Linked DNA regions of Callithrix jacchus. The protein of the gene in region 1 purifies or fractionates together with the protein of each later gene. This does not show direct contact. Links are inferred from orthologs where the notes say so. Each region holds a gene or a part of one and is shown on either strand. Other genes may lie near its edges. The genes, in order: RIOK1, CLNS1A and COPRS.

Evidence for each region.
Region 2: the proteins of RIOK1 (region 1) and CLNS1A purify together in Homo sapiens (affinity purification with mass spectrometry; 3 studies listed by BioGRID and IntAct, with this or other methods). This does not show direct contact. The link is inferred for Callithrix jacchus from reciprocal best matches to the Homo sapiens genes RIOK1 and CLNS1A.
Region 3: the proteins of RIOK1 (region 1) and COPRS purify together in Homo sapiens (affinity purification with mass spectrometry; 3 studies listed by BioGRID and IntAct, with this or other methods). This does not show direct contact. The link is inferred for Callithrix jacchus from reciprocal best matches to the Homo sapiens genes RIOK1 and COPRS.

The regions. Positions count from the first base shown.
Region 1 is NC_133505.1:23,042,316-23,045,960, forward strand, and holds part of RIOK1 (serine/threonine-protein kinase RIO1), read right to left. Parts: intron 3,032-3,645; coding exon 2,978-3,031; intron 1,694-2,977; coding exon 1,541-1,693; intron 1-1,540. UniProt on the Homo sapiens protein: Involved in the final steps of cytoplasmic maturation of the 40S ribosomal subunit. Involved in processing of 18S-E pre-rRNA to the mature 18S rRNA. Required for the recycling of NOB1 and PNO1 from the late 40S precursor.
Region 2 is NC_133511.1:62,961,616-62,965,940, reverse strand, and holds the start of CLNS1A (methylosome subunit pICln), read right to left. Parts: upstream 2,813-4,325; 5' UTR 2,731-2,812; coding exon 2,606-2,730; intron 1-2,605. UniProt on the Homo sapiens protein: Involved in both the assembly of spliceosomal snRNPs and the methylation of Sm proteins.
Region 3 is NC_133506.1:102,328,100-102,332,209, reverse strand, and holds the start of COPRS (coordinator of PRMT5 and differentiation stimulator), read right to left. Parts: upstream 2,920-4,110; 5' UTR 2,803-2,919; coding exon 2,704-2,802; intron 2,643-2,703; exon of another isoform or gene 2,416-2,642; coding exon of another isoform or gene 2,353-2,415; intron 2,114-2,352; exon of another isoform or gene 2,004-2,113; coding exon of another isoform or gene 1,974-2,003; intron 194-1,973; coding exon 127-193; intron 1-126. UniProt on the Homo sapiens protein: Histone-binding protein required for histone H4 methyltransferase activity of PRMT5.

The DNA.
Region 1 (3,645 bases):
ATAGGCTCAGTGCTTTCTGGTGCAACATGGTGCCATCAAATGCTGGAAGATGTTTTTGTTTACATGTTTCAGCCACAAATTTAATGCCTTTTCCATCTTAACCAAGCAATTATCACATACTATGGCTCTTACTTTTGCAGTTTGGGATGAGCAAAACCAGCACAAACATCTTTTTCCTTCTTCACAGTTTCACAGATAAGACTCTCACCATAGGTCTCAGCAGCTTCAGCATATGATTCTTTTCCCTTTCCTTATTGATTTGAGACAGAATCTCACTCTGTCACCCAGGCTGGCATACAGTGGCATGATCAGTTCTGGGCTCAAGGGATCCTCTTGCCTTAGCCTCCCAAGTGTCTGGGACTACAGGTGCTCATCGGCAATGTTTTAACAGAGATAGGTATCACTTTGTTGCTCAGACTGGTCTCGAGTGATCATCCCTCCTTGGCCTCCCAAAGTGCTAGGATTACAGGTGTGAGTTCCTTGTTAAGAATGGTCACCTTTTCACTTAAAGGAAGAACTTTATGGCTTCCCTTAGGCATACCTGAAATTCCAACATCATTACTCTTGTAATTTATGGCTCTTATTAAGCAAAGTAAGGGTTACTTGCACACAGGCACCACAACACCACAGCAGCTGAACTGAGAGCCAAGACTACTCAATGACTAACGAGTGGGGAGTGTTGACAGTGTGAAGACGCTGGACAATGTGATGATTCACATCCCAGGCAGGATAGAGGAGGACAGCATGAACTTCATCACACTACTTAGGACAGTGTGCAATTTAAAACCTATAAATTGTTTACTTCTGGAATTTTCCATCCATTTAATATTTGCAAACGATGGCTGACTACAGGGAACTTAAACAGAAGAAAGTGAAAGCATGGGTGGGGGAACTATTATATAGTCGTTTAGATTCCAGAAACATCAGCTGGACTATAAATCTCCCTGAAATGGCTCTTCAGTATTTACCCTGGTCAGCTCCTTGTGCTTCATGTGAAATGTATTGAGTTTAGTGTGTGCTGTCTTTAGGCAATGACCAAGGTGCTCCAATGGCCAGCCCAATCTCTAGATAATGTTACCACTAAAAGTCAAGTTCACACTTAGCTATTTAAACTGTAATTAGAGGTACTTACCAATAATGTTTTCAGCCATCATGATCTAGCTAGATCCTTGAGCAAAGAAACGTGAGAGCGGCTGTGCTCCCACACTAAAGAAAAAGGGAGGCTGGGCGTGGGGGTTCACATCTGTAATCCGAGCACTTTGGGAGGCCAAGGCAGGTGGATCATGAGGTCAAGAGATCGAGATCATCCTGGCCAACGTGGTGAAACCTCATCTCTACTAAAAATACAAAAATTAGCTGTATATAGAGGCGCTCACCTATAGTCCCAGCTACTCGGGAGGCTGAGGCAGGAGAATCACTTGAACCTGGGGGGCGGGCAGAGGTTGCAGTGAGCCAAGATTGTGCCACTGCACGCCAGCCTGGATGACAGAGCAAGACTCCGTCTCTAAAAAAAAAAAGGGGAATGTACTTCATTGCTTACCTTTTTATCAATGTCGGGGTCAGTGGTGTGTTTCTTGGGGCGAGCATGATCTCCCTGCTCTTCAGAGTCTGTGTCAGAGCACTCAGAGCTTCCAATATCTTCTGAATCAGAACAAGTCTTTTCCTCCACTTGATTTTCTAGGAGTGCAGGGACCTTGAAATTATGAAAGAACCATGTTATTCTAAACCAATTAGTTATGTGTTGTTGTTAAATGTGTTAATGCCAGAATTCAGATTTTTGGTTTACAAATAATATGCTAAAACTTACATCCTGTACTGAAACATCAAAACGCCAGAATGAACATCAGGAAGGAAATATGAAAGCAGCCATTCCAAGTGAGGCTCAAGAACATACCTAAATGAAGGAACCAGGGCTTGACTGGGGGACCTAGACCAATGACACAGCTGTTCTGCTACTTTCAGCTAATTGGGAGCCTTTAGTTGGGATTGGGAAAGAGGTGAAATACACACAGAGGTAAAAAAATATAGATTTATACAGATAATTTCACAGCTGTTTTCCTGTGAACACATTTCTAGCAATAAACTAATCCAACTGAGAGGGAAAACAATATTCAGAGACGAGAAATTTTCATTACTTCCTGAAATTTAGCAGTTGTCTAATACAGTGCTTCCTAGTAGTTCTTAAGAGAGTAAGGGTTTCCTTTATATAAGAAAAAAAGACATATCTTTAGAAGTCAATTGTACACAAGATTTTCTAGCTCACTGCAATAAAATCTTCATGCTTTAGAATCCAAAGTGGAACTTCCTTATGACACCTTTTATTATAACTCAGAAATACAAAATACCAGAATTCCCCTAAAATTCATTCCACGGTTTGAATTAAATTCAAATCAGTTTGATTTTAAGAAAGCAAACTGTGATCCTTTATTTGAGTCTTCAATTAGGAAGATTTAAAAAGATAAAGACTGCTTTTATGACTGCCTAAGTTAGAATTACTTAATCCCTACCCTTCTAAAATGTAAAACAAAACAAGATTGTTTTAAGAAAAAAGAACATTACAGGAATCCAGCACAGCAGGACTGCTGAACTCCTGACACTGTTTTTTAACAAGTAATATCCTGGTAGGAGACCACATTCTATACTGTTTCCCTAAGCCAGTTGGAAAAACCATTAAGAAGCACAATGGCTACCATTAATAACCCCACAAATGACAACTAGGATACAAAAAGATAAATATCTCACCTGCAACAACAGAACAATTCAGAGACAGAATGAAAAATAAATCAATTTGTGTTTAGAAAGAACACAAAAAGGGCATTTCAGAAGATGTCCATGGACTTTGTAAGCAATTATAAAATTTGAACAAAATAGCATTAATGTAGTTCTAATGATATTAAATAAAAAATAACACAACTAGAGTTTTATATCCTTTAAAAGTGTTTTCACATAAACACACAGTAACACATGTTCTTCATACCTTCTGAACTCCTGACAAATCTTTCTTCAATCCTGTGACAGTTTGGTATAGAATCTTGTAACCAAAAGGAAAAAAAAAAACAAAACAATCAACACAAAACTAGACAGTGAAATATGCATATTGCACTATTAAGAACAATGTGAGCTAAATACTATCTCCTATGATTATAAAAAGGCATCTAAAATTAATCTCACTGTAACACAGGAAGTTTAGAATATGGACACTATTTCTGTCTACCAGATGTACTGGCCAAATCCAACCAGCCACCTGGTAGTTGGCTAATTTTTGTATTTTTAGTAGAGATGGGGTTTCACCATGTTGGCCAGGTTGCTCTCAAATTCCTGACCTCAAGTGATACACCCACCTTAACCTCTCAAAGTATTGGGATTACAGGCATGAGCCACTGCACCTGGCCTACCTGGTAGTTTTTACAGATAAACATTTGCAACCAGTTTGAAGATAGCAAACACAAACTTTTAGACCCAACTAAGCAAATATTATCTGCCCCTCATCAAATAATTCCATTCTTCTCTAGTATACTTGTATTACACAAACCTGTATTCAGTTATTATTAAAGTATTTCTAATTTCACAAATAAAAATTGAGGGTTTTTTCTTTTGTTACATAAGGACCTACGTAATCACTTCAATTTTGTTTCTTGGCTTGCA
Region 2 (4,325 bases), on another chromosome or scaffold:
CTAATTTCTGCATTTTTTTTGTATTCTTTGTAGAGACGGGGTTTTGCCATGTTGCCCAGGCTGGTCAAGAACTCCTAGGCTCAAGCTATCTGCTCATCTTGGCCTCTCAAAGTGCTGGGATTGCAGGCATGAGACACCTTGCCCAGCCTAAGAATTTTTTAAAAACAGATAAAAACTTGAAATGAGTTATACTTCCTTAGTGTGAGAATTGTATTGTGGTTATACAAGAGAATGTTCCCGTTCTTCTGAGATACAGGAAATGGAAAACAGGTCTGCAATTCTCAAATGGCTCAGAAAAAAAAAAAGAGAGAGAGACATAAATGTGGCAAAATGTTAATTAGATTTGAAATTTTTTTTTTTGAGACAGAGTCTCATTGTCAGCCAGGAAGAAGTGCAATGGCACAATCTTGGCTCACTGCAACCTCTGCCTCCTGGGTTCAAGCGATTCTCCTGCCTCAGCCTCCCAAGTAGTTGGGATTACAGGCACACGCCACCACACCCTGCTAATTTTTGTATTTTTAGTAGAGATGCGGTTTCACCATGTTGGCCAGGCTGGTCTTGAACTCCTGTCCTCAGGTGATCCACCCCACCCGTCAGCCTCCCAAAGTGCTGGGATTACAGGCATGAGCCACTGCACCCAGCCTTAGGTTTGAAATTTCTTTTTTTTTTTTTTTTTTAGAGACGGGGTTTCACTGTGTTAGCCAGGATGATCTCCATCTCCTGACCTTGTGATCCGCACGCCTCAGCCTCCCAAAGTGCTGGGATTACAGGCATGAGCCACTGTGCCCAGCTAGGTTTGAAATTTTTCAAAATGCAAAAAGAAATACAGGACTGCTCCTCAAAAGGAGTTATAATATTGAAAGAAGTGTCAATATACTTAAATGTCATGAATAAAAAAGGAATGCCTGGAACTAAAAATGTATCTGTGCCCCATCTTTCACCACTTATAAGAAACTGCTTTCCCCAATTATCAAAGATTTCCTTATCAATACTCAATATAGACTCCAGATTTTGTTTCTGACTGCTCCTTCCTACTTTCTCAAGTCCCTTCTTCTTCTGTGACCCACCTCTTAATACAGGTGTATCCCGAGGATTCTACACTTGGTCCTCTTCTCTTCTGGGATACCAATCCATTTCCATGAGTATACGCTAATACTTTCTCTAACGACTCCCAAACATCTCTCTTTAATATCACTTTCCCAAGACATATGTTTTTGTTTTTTTGACAGGGTCTCACTGTTATGCAGGCTGGACTGCAGAGCACAATAACGCCCACGGCAGCCTCCACCTCCTGGGCTCAGATGATCCTTCCACCTCAGTTTCCTGAGTAGCTAGAACTACAGGCCACCACCATGCCTGGCTAGTTCTTGCAGAGACTGAGTTTCACCATGTTGCCCAGGCTGATCTCAAACTGCTGGGCTAAAGCGATCCACTCGCCTCAGCTTCCCAAAATGGTGGGATTACCGGTATGACCCACCACACCCGGCCCAAAACACACTCATGTGTACAACTATTCCACACATGTCCTGACCAAACTCATTATCTGCTTATCACATCAATCTTGCTTTTCCTCCCATCCTTATGTCTTACCTCAATGACTGGCCTGAAGCCTAAGCCTTGATCAATGCCTAAATTTCCCTTTAAAGCAACAGTTCTTTACAGTTTTTGTAGTCTGGATTCTCTGGGAGGCAGAATTTTGGCCCCACGACCTTCACTTTCTGGTGTCACGCCTGTGACTATGTTATATTACATAGCAAAAGGGACTTCGCAAACGTAATTCAGCTTATCAGTTGACAGTAACATTGGTAGATTTTATCCTGGATTTTATAAGTGGTCCCAAAGTAATTATATGAGCACTTAAAAGTAGAGAATTTTCTCTGCCTGTAGACAAGTGATGGAGCAAAAGGGGAAGCAACAGGTATCTGAAGGACAGGAAGGATTCAATGTGTCATTACATACTTCAAAATAAAGAGGACTACAAGTCAAAAACAGAGACCTCAGTTCTACAACTACAGTATTTAAGGAGGATCTATCTGACTGTGAAAATACAAAAGTGCTCCAGGTGGTCAAATAAAAGGGCAATTCCTTCCAGGACCCCAAAACGGGAGACTAGTCCCTCTGCATATGACCCCTGTCTGTGTCGGGTGAAGAGGTGTTCCTCCTTAGTATACCTACAGAAGAAAATCTATATTGTGTAGTATCCAAAGTTTCAAAGTCCTCCACAATCTGCTCTGAAACTACATATCCCGCAGAAGGGACCACTTCCTGCATCTGTTCATCCGAAAGACAGGCACACTTCAGACCCTTAAAACGAGACCGTGCGTGAAGGGCAACGCAGGCGCCAGACCTCCCGTAAACAGGAGAGTTAACAGCAAAAAGAAAAGCAGCACAACCCATGAGGGGAAATTACGGCCGGAGAAAACAGAATGGAAGACTCCGGAGGAGCGCCAGAAAAACCGAGTCTTCCACCCAGTACAGGTATCCATGAGGCGTCCCAGGCACGCGCCCCCGCTCCCAACAGCCCACTAGGTCGCCCCTCGCCTGGCTCCTTCGCACCTCCTGCGCCAGCGAGGAGGAGGCCGGCGCTGAGGACCAGGAACCCTACCTCTCAGCGATGTAAAGGGTACCGGTGCCAAGGCCCTTCCCGTTCAGCACAGCCTCGGTGTCTGGCTGCTGCCGCAGGAGCCCCTCCGCCGGCCCAGGCGGCGGGAAACTTTTGAGGAAGCTCATAGCAGCAGGGAATCCCGCAACACAGGCCCTGAGGGAGTTGGGGCACAGCAATACACGCACAGCGCCGCCCGCCCCGGAAAAGGAAGTTACCCCGGAAGAACAACAGTCGGCCAGGAACCTGAGCCCCGTCAACCATAGAGATGAGACATTCTAGGAAAAGCGTCGGAGGTCGGCTAAGACCGAGTTGTTTGACCGCGGGACGGCCCTCCCTCTCTTCCTCGCCATTTCTGAGGTTCTGGGCTTCAAATAACCGAGAGTTCTGTGGGACTCTCTACCTCAAGGTTGTCACAGTGAAACCGCCATTGCAAAATTATAGTTGAGACACTGAAAGCGACCTATCCAAATCCATGTTGTTTCTAACCTCCAAGCTGTCCTTGTGCATTCCTGGGCATACTTTGAGAGGAACTTAGTTTATAGTTTAAAGTTTAAAACAAATGATGACAGCCTTTTCCCAAAACAAATTTCCTTCTTGCTTGGGGTCTGGACTGCCTTTGTAGGACTAACACATTAGCTACAAGATTTTAGAAATTATGGTTTAGATTAGAAATTACAGCTGGAGGCTTCAAGATTCTGACCCTCCCTAAACTGCACCTAAGATCGGCCCTTGCACCTGATGGATCAGCTGCCACCACCAGATGGATAAACTGGCTCATGTGATCTTGTGGCCACCCCCAACTTTTTTTTTTTTTTTCTTTGAGACGAAGTTTCACTCTTGTTTGCCCAGGCTGGTGTGCAGTGGCATGGCATAATCTCTACTCATTGCAACCTCCACCTCCTGGGTTCAAGCGATTCTTCTGCCTCAGCCTCCCGAGTAGCTGGGATTACAGACACCCGCCACCACGCCTGGCTAATTTTTTGTATTTTTAGTAGAGATGGGGTTTCTCCATGTTGGCCAGCCTGGTCTCAAACTCCTGACCTTCAGGTGATCCACCCGCCTTGGCCTCCCAAAGTTCTGGGATTACAGGCATGAGCCACAGTGCCCAGCCAGCTCTGTGAGTTTCTTTGAGATAACTTCTGTTCCAAACTGTGTTTGGAAGTTGCGATAGACATTGGACTGGGTCCAGGATCGAATTTGATCCAGTTATTAACTGGCTTGGATCCAGTTAGAGCCTTCTTACATCTGACTAGGCCAGAAAGAAACTGGTAGTACATGGTGATATTTTAGGGGTTATAAAATTTGGCTTTTGAAAATTCACAGGGATTGTTTGTGTTCCTCCCTTTTATTTCTTTTTTTATTGTTTTGTTATGTTGAGTCAGAGTCTTGCTGTGTCACCCAGGCTGGAGTGCAATGGTGCCATCTCGGCTTACTGCAACCTCTGCCTCCCGGGTTCAAGTGAGTCTCCTGCCTCAGCCTCCTGAGTAGCTGAGATTACAGGCGCCCACCACCACACCTGGCTATTTTCTGTATTTTTAATAGAGATAGGGTTTCGCCATGTTGGCCAGGCTGGTTTCGAGCTCCTGACCTCATGATCCACCCACCTCAGCCTCCCAAAATGCTGGGATTACAGGTGTGAGCCACTGTGCCCAGCCCCTCCCTTTGATTTCATTTTTCCTGCTTGCTTAGGTAGGAAAAAAATCATTGACTAAGTTGATCA
Region 3 (4,110 bases), on another chromosome or scaffold:
TGGGCAGAAAAGGCCACTAAGCAGCAGAGAAGACGGGCTAAAAGAGGAGGTAAATGAGACAGAGGACTATCCCTCTCCTCACGTCCTTGGTCTCCCCAACTTCCACTGTCTCTGCCATCTACTTGCCTAGTCGATCCATAGCCTTCTCAGTCTCTCTCTCCCGACTGGAGTAGTCAACTGTAGCAAAGTCAGCCTGCAGGAAGAAGAAATGATTACCAAGGACTTGGGTATCTGGGAGATGCCCAGTATTCAGCTATTGTCTTTCAACTTCACCCACTCTTCCATACTCCCCTTGGTGATGCGGGGCTGGGACTCTGCCACCCACTTTTCTGCTTTGCCCTGTTAAACTGGGCAAGGCTGGAGGGAGAGGGGCCTTGTTCCTTTCTAGTCATGTAGGCATCACCTCAGGACACTTCACTGTGGTGGCAGGGATGCCTTCCTATAGCAGCCACAGAATCCGGTACACAGTTCTGAGAACTCTTGCAGAGCCAGCCTCAACACTGAGCCTTTTCTTTAAAGGTCTGGGTCCCAGGACCCTCCTCCAAGCTCAGAGACCCCTACACCAGCTGGGGCAGTGCCTCCTCCTTAAAGGTTGGAATTTCAGCTCTGCAGAGCCTTTACTCTAAGCTTTTAAATTTTAATCAACTTCATCTCTTTGTTCCTTCAGCCACAGGGTTGGTAGCTGTTCCCGGCAGTTGCCACCTCCATTTCCATGTTTTACCTTTTCAGTTACTTAATAACTTTATAGCAACTCTATCAAATTGTTTCCTCACTGACACATTGAGGTGGGGAAGCTTTAGTTCCTCTGCAATGCTGAGCACTGAAGGCAATATTTCTAATCTAACTGAAGACCTTCCCACACAGCCAACCAAATGCTTCTCTGCTCCCATCACTCAGTTCTTGGAACCCTATGACCTCCAAGACCTCTTTCTAAAGAAAAACAAAATATTTCCACCTGTATAAAAAGACCTGATTCTGGCTGGGGGCAGTGGCTCACACCTGTAATCCCAGCACATTGGGAGGCCAAGGTGGGTGGATCACAAGGTCATAAGATCGAGACCATCCTGGCCAACATGGTGGTGAAATCCCATCTCTACTAAAATTAAAAAAATTAGCCAGGGGGGGTGGTGCACGCCTGTAGTCCCAGCTACTCAGAAGGCTGAAGCAGGGGAATCAGTTGAACCCTGGAGGTGGAGGTTGCAGTGAGCCCAGATCATGCCATTGCACTCCAGCCTGGCAACAGAGACTCCGTTTCAAAAAAAAGAGACCTGATTTTGATCACAGCCCTGCCACCCATTCAGAGTGTGGCCTTGAACACATCACTTCAATTACCATGCCTAAGTTTGCTTCTCCAGAAATTGGGGATGACTGTTGTAACCCTGCAGGGGGCTGATGAGGTACCATTTATGAAAAATGGAATGTAGCAAGAGTGTAACATTTCTTGAATTTAAATTCACCTTTTCTGCTACATCTGAACTGCACTTGGCACCTGCTCCAATCAGAATTCATTATGTAGTCATGTCTGTGTTTAATCATTCAATTCCACCCCCTGTAGTCAGTGACAACCGCTGGTCATTGCAGCCCAAGGAGAAGTCAGACCTCTCACCTAAATCACTGCCACGGCCTTCTAACCATCTTCTCATCCAGTCATCTGGCCCAGCGTTACAAAATTAATCATTACTCTGCTCAAAACCTTCAACAGCCCTCCACTGAGGGAGCACAGAATTAGCCATGGCATTCACACGTCCCCTCCTCCCCCACTCCCATCAACCTGTTGAACATAGTGCTCTGCATGCTCTGGGACCCAACTCCAAGCCATGTGCCCTGCACTTTTTCATCTCCACGCCTCTGCAAACACCACCAGCCTCTCACCTTTATCCCTTCCTGCTGTGCCCTGACAAAATTAGTCCCATTCTGTTCTGCACTCCAAAGTAATTTGCTTTATAAGTGTCGCTGCATTTTTCATATCTTACTTTGGCTGAGTACCATCTTTGAGGCATCATTCATCCAGTCAGTATGTCTATCTCCTGTGCCAGGCACTATGCTAGGCTGGACAAACAGCCCTAACAGAGGGTTCCTACTGTCCAGCGGCTCACCATCAGTCGGGAACTGACTGTAAACAAGGACAGGTGATGACTGTAATAACGGTCTCGGGAAAACCGTGAGCTGTCTAACGTACATGAAAACAAGTTTCTGGAAACCCTGCGTCAAACAGGGCCTTTTTGGTTTCAGTAAGGAGAAGGGAGAGCGCGCACGTGACATCATCTGGGGCTCAGGGTTAGCGGACATTCCCACCAACGGACAGAGGTCCACAGGTCCGTCAACTCAAGTCCCTCTCCTCACCGCCCTCACCTGGCCCTCGCCCAGGCTCCTGGCAGCGGGCCCCGGCTCTCGGTCACCAGCGTCCCCTTCCATTTACTAAATCTGCAGCGGAGCCCGGCGGGGGGACAGCCCTCCCTCCCGACCCAGCGCGCCCACCCACGGCCTCTGAGTTCCCAGTCCCGCAACACCGCGGCCCCTAGGCCTGGCCGTTTTCAGCTCGAGCGCGAGCCCAAACGGCGCTCGGTGTCGCGGGGCGGCCCGAGGTCGGCCTGAGGCGCTTCCCCCGCCCGGCGGCCCCCGCCCAGCCCGGCCCGTGAGCCCCGCGACCCCCAGCCCCAGGCTGCGGCTGGCTGTAGCGCCCAGCCCCCACGCGATGCTCACCTCCGGGCTGGGGGTCGCCTCCCGCGCGCTCTGCAGCGGCGAGCCCTGAGACGGCTCCGCGGCCCCCTGCGCCTGGGCCCCGGCGGCCTGAGGGTCCATGCCGGCTGCCCACGGGTCGGCGCCCTGGACGCCGTGGCCCACGTGACGCACCGGCCCGGCTACCGCCCTGAGGATCCGCCGTAGAGGGGCCAATCAGGTTGGGGGGGGGTCCCGGCTGAGGAGGCGGGGCGCAGGGGGAGGGTCAAGAGGAAACGGGGGCGGGGCGGCGCAGGAGGCGGGGCGCGCGGCCTCACAGAGCCCTCCCCTCCCTCTCCCGCGCGAAATGTGAAACAATCTCCCGGACTGATTTTGGTAACACCTCCCCGTGCAGATCCTAAGGCTGGACGACTAGCTGGGAGCGAAACGCCAAGCGTGTCCTACGCGGCCCCTCGGGGTGTGCTCCAGCTTTAAAACCTCGTGTGGGTAAGACACATCAGCAACCTAGTGACCTCTGCCTTGAGCTAATGTCGTCTTCGAAGTTAATCCATTAGAAACCACGATAGATGATTAAAACACAAACTACAATGTGCGGTGGACACAGAATACAGGCCACGACGCTTCTCATAACCCTAACATTCGGGGCTCCTGTATTTTGACGCTCAACGCCTGATACTCGACAACCTCATTATTTTCCTTTTTGCCTCGAAAGGTGGCTTCTGGGGATAGGCAGGGCCTGAGCTAGGAACAACCCAAATGGAAAGACAGCCTTCCCTGCCTTTCCCACAGTACCTAACCTCAAACAAATCAGCTTAAAGTGTGCCCATTCCATCAACACATGAGAGACCCTCTTCCTTCATCCCCTCAAAGACTATTGTTTGTACAGTACAAACGGCATCTGTAAAAATTTAGCATAAAACTGACACACAATGTTCAATTTTATGTTTTTTTCTCTATGCAGATGTTCCTACACAGGAGTCAGTGTCCCCAAGGCGAACTGCCTCTAGGTCATTAATGTCCAGTAGAACCTTCTTTAATGGTGGAAATAAAAGTTATACTATCTGTGCTGTCCAATATGGTAACCATATACCTGCTGAGCACTTGAAATGTGACCAGTGTGAATGATAAACTGAGTAATTGTAATAAATTGCTACATGTGCATAGGAGCTACTCTTTCTAACAGTGCAACTCTAGGTTTACCAGCTAGATGCATTGTCATAACCTGCAATAGTTAGAATCAGATATAGGGATGTGATGACACCAGGTGGCCACCTTTATAGCCTTGTGTTAAGGAGACTACCACTATCCTCTTTGCTCCCTACTCTGTACAACACATATCTCTCTTGTAAATAAAGTTCCAAATAAGATTTAGAATGTGAAACTTCCAAAGACTTAATTAAGGGAGAGGAAAAAGAGGATTTTTTTTCTTAT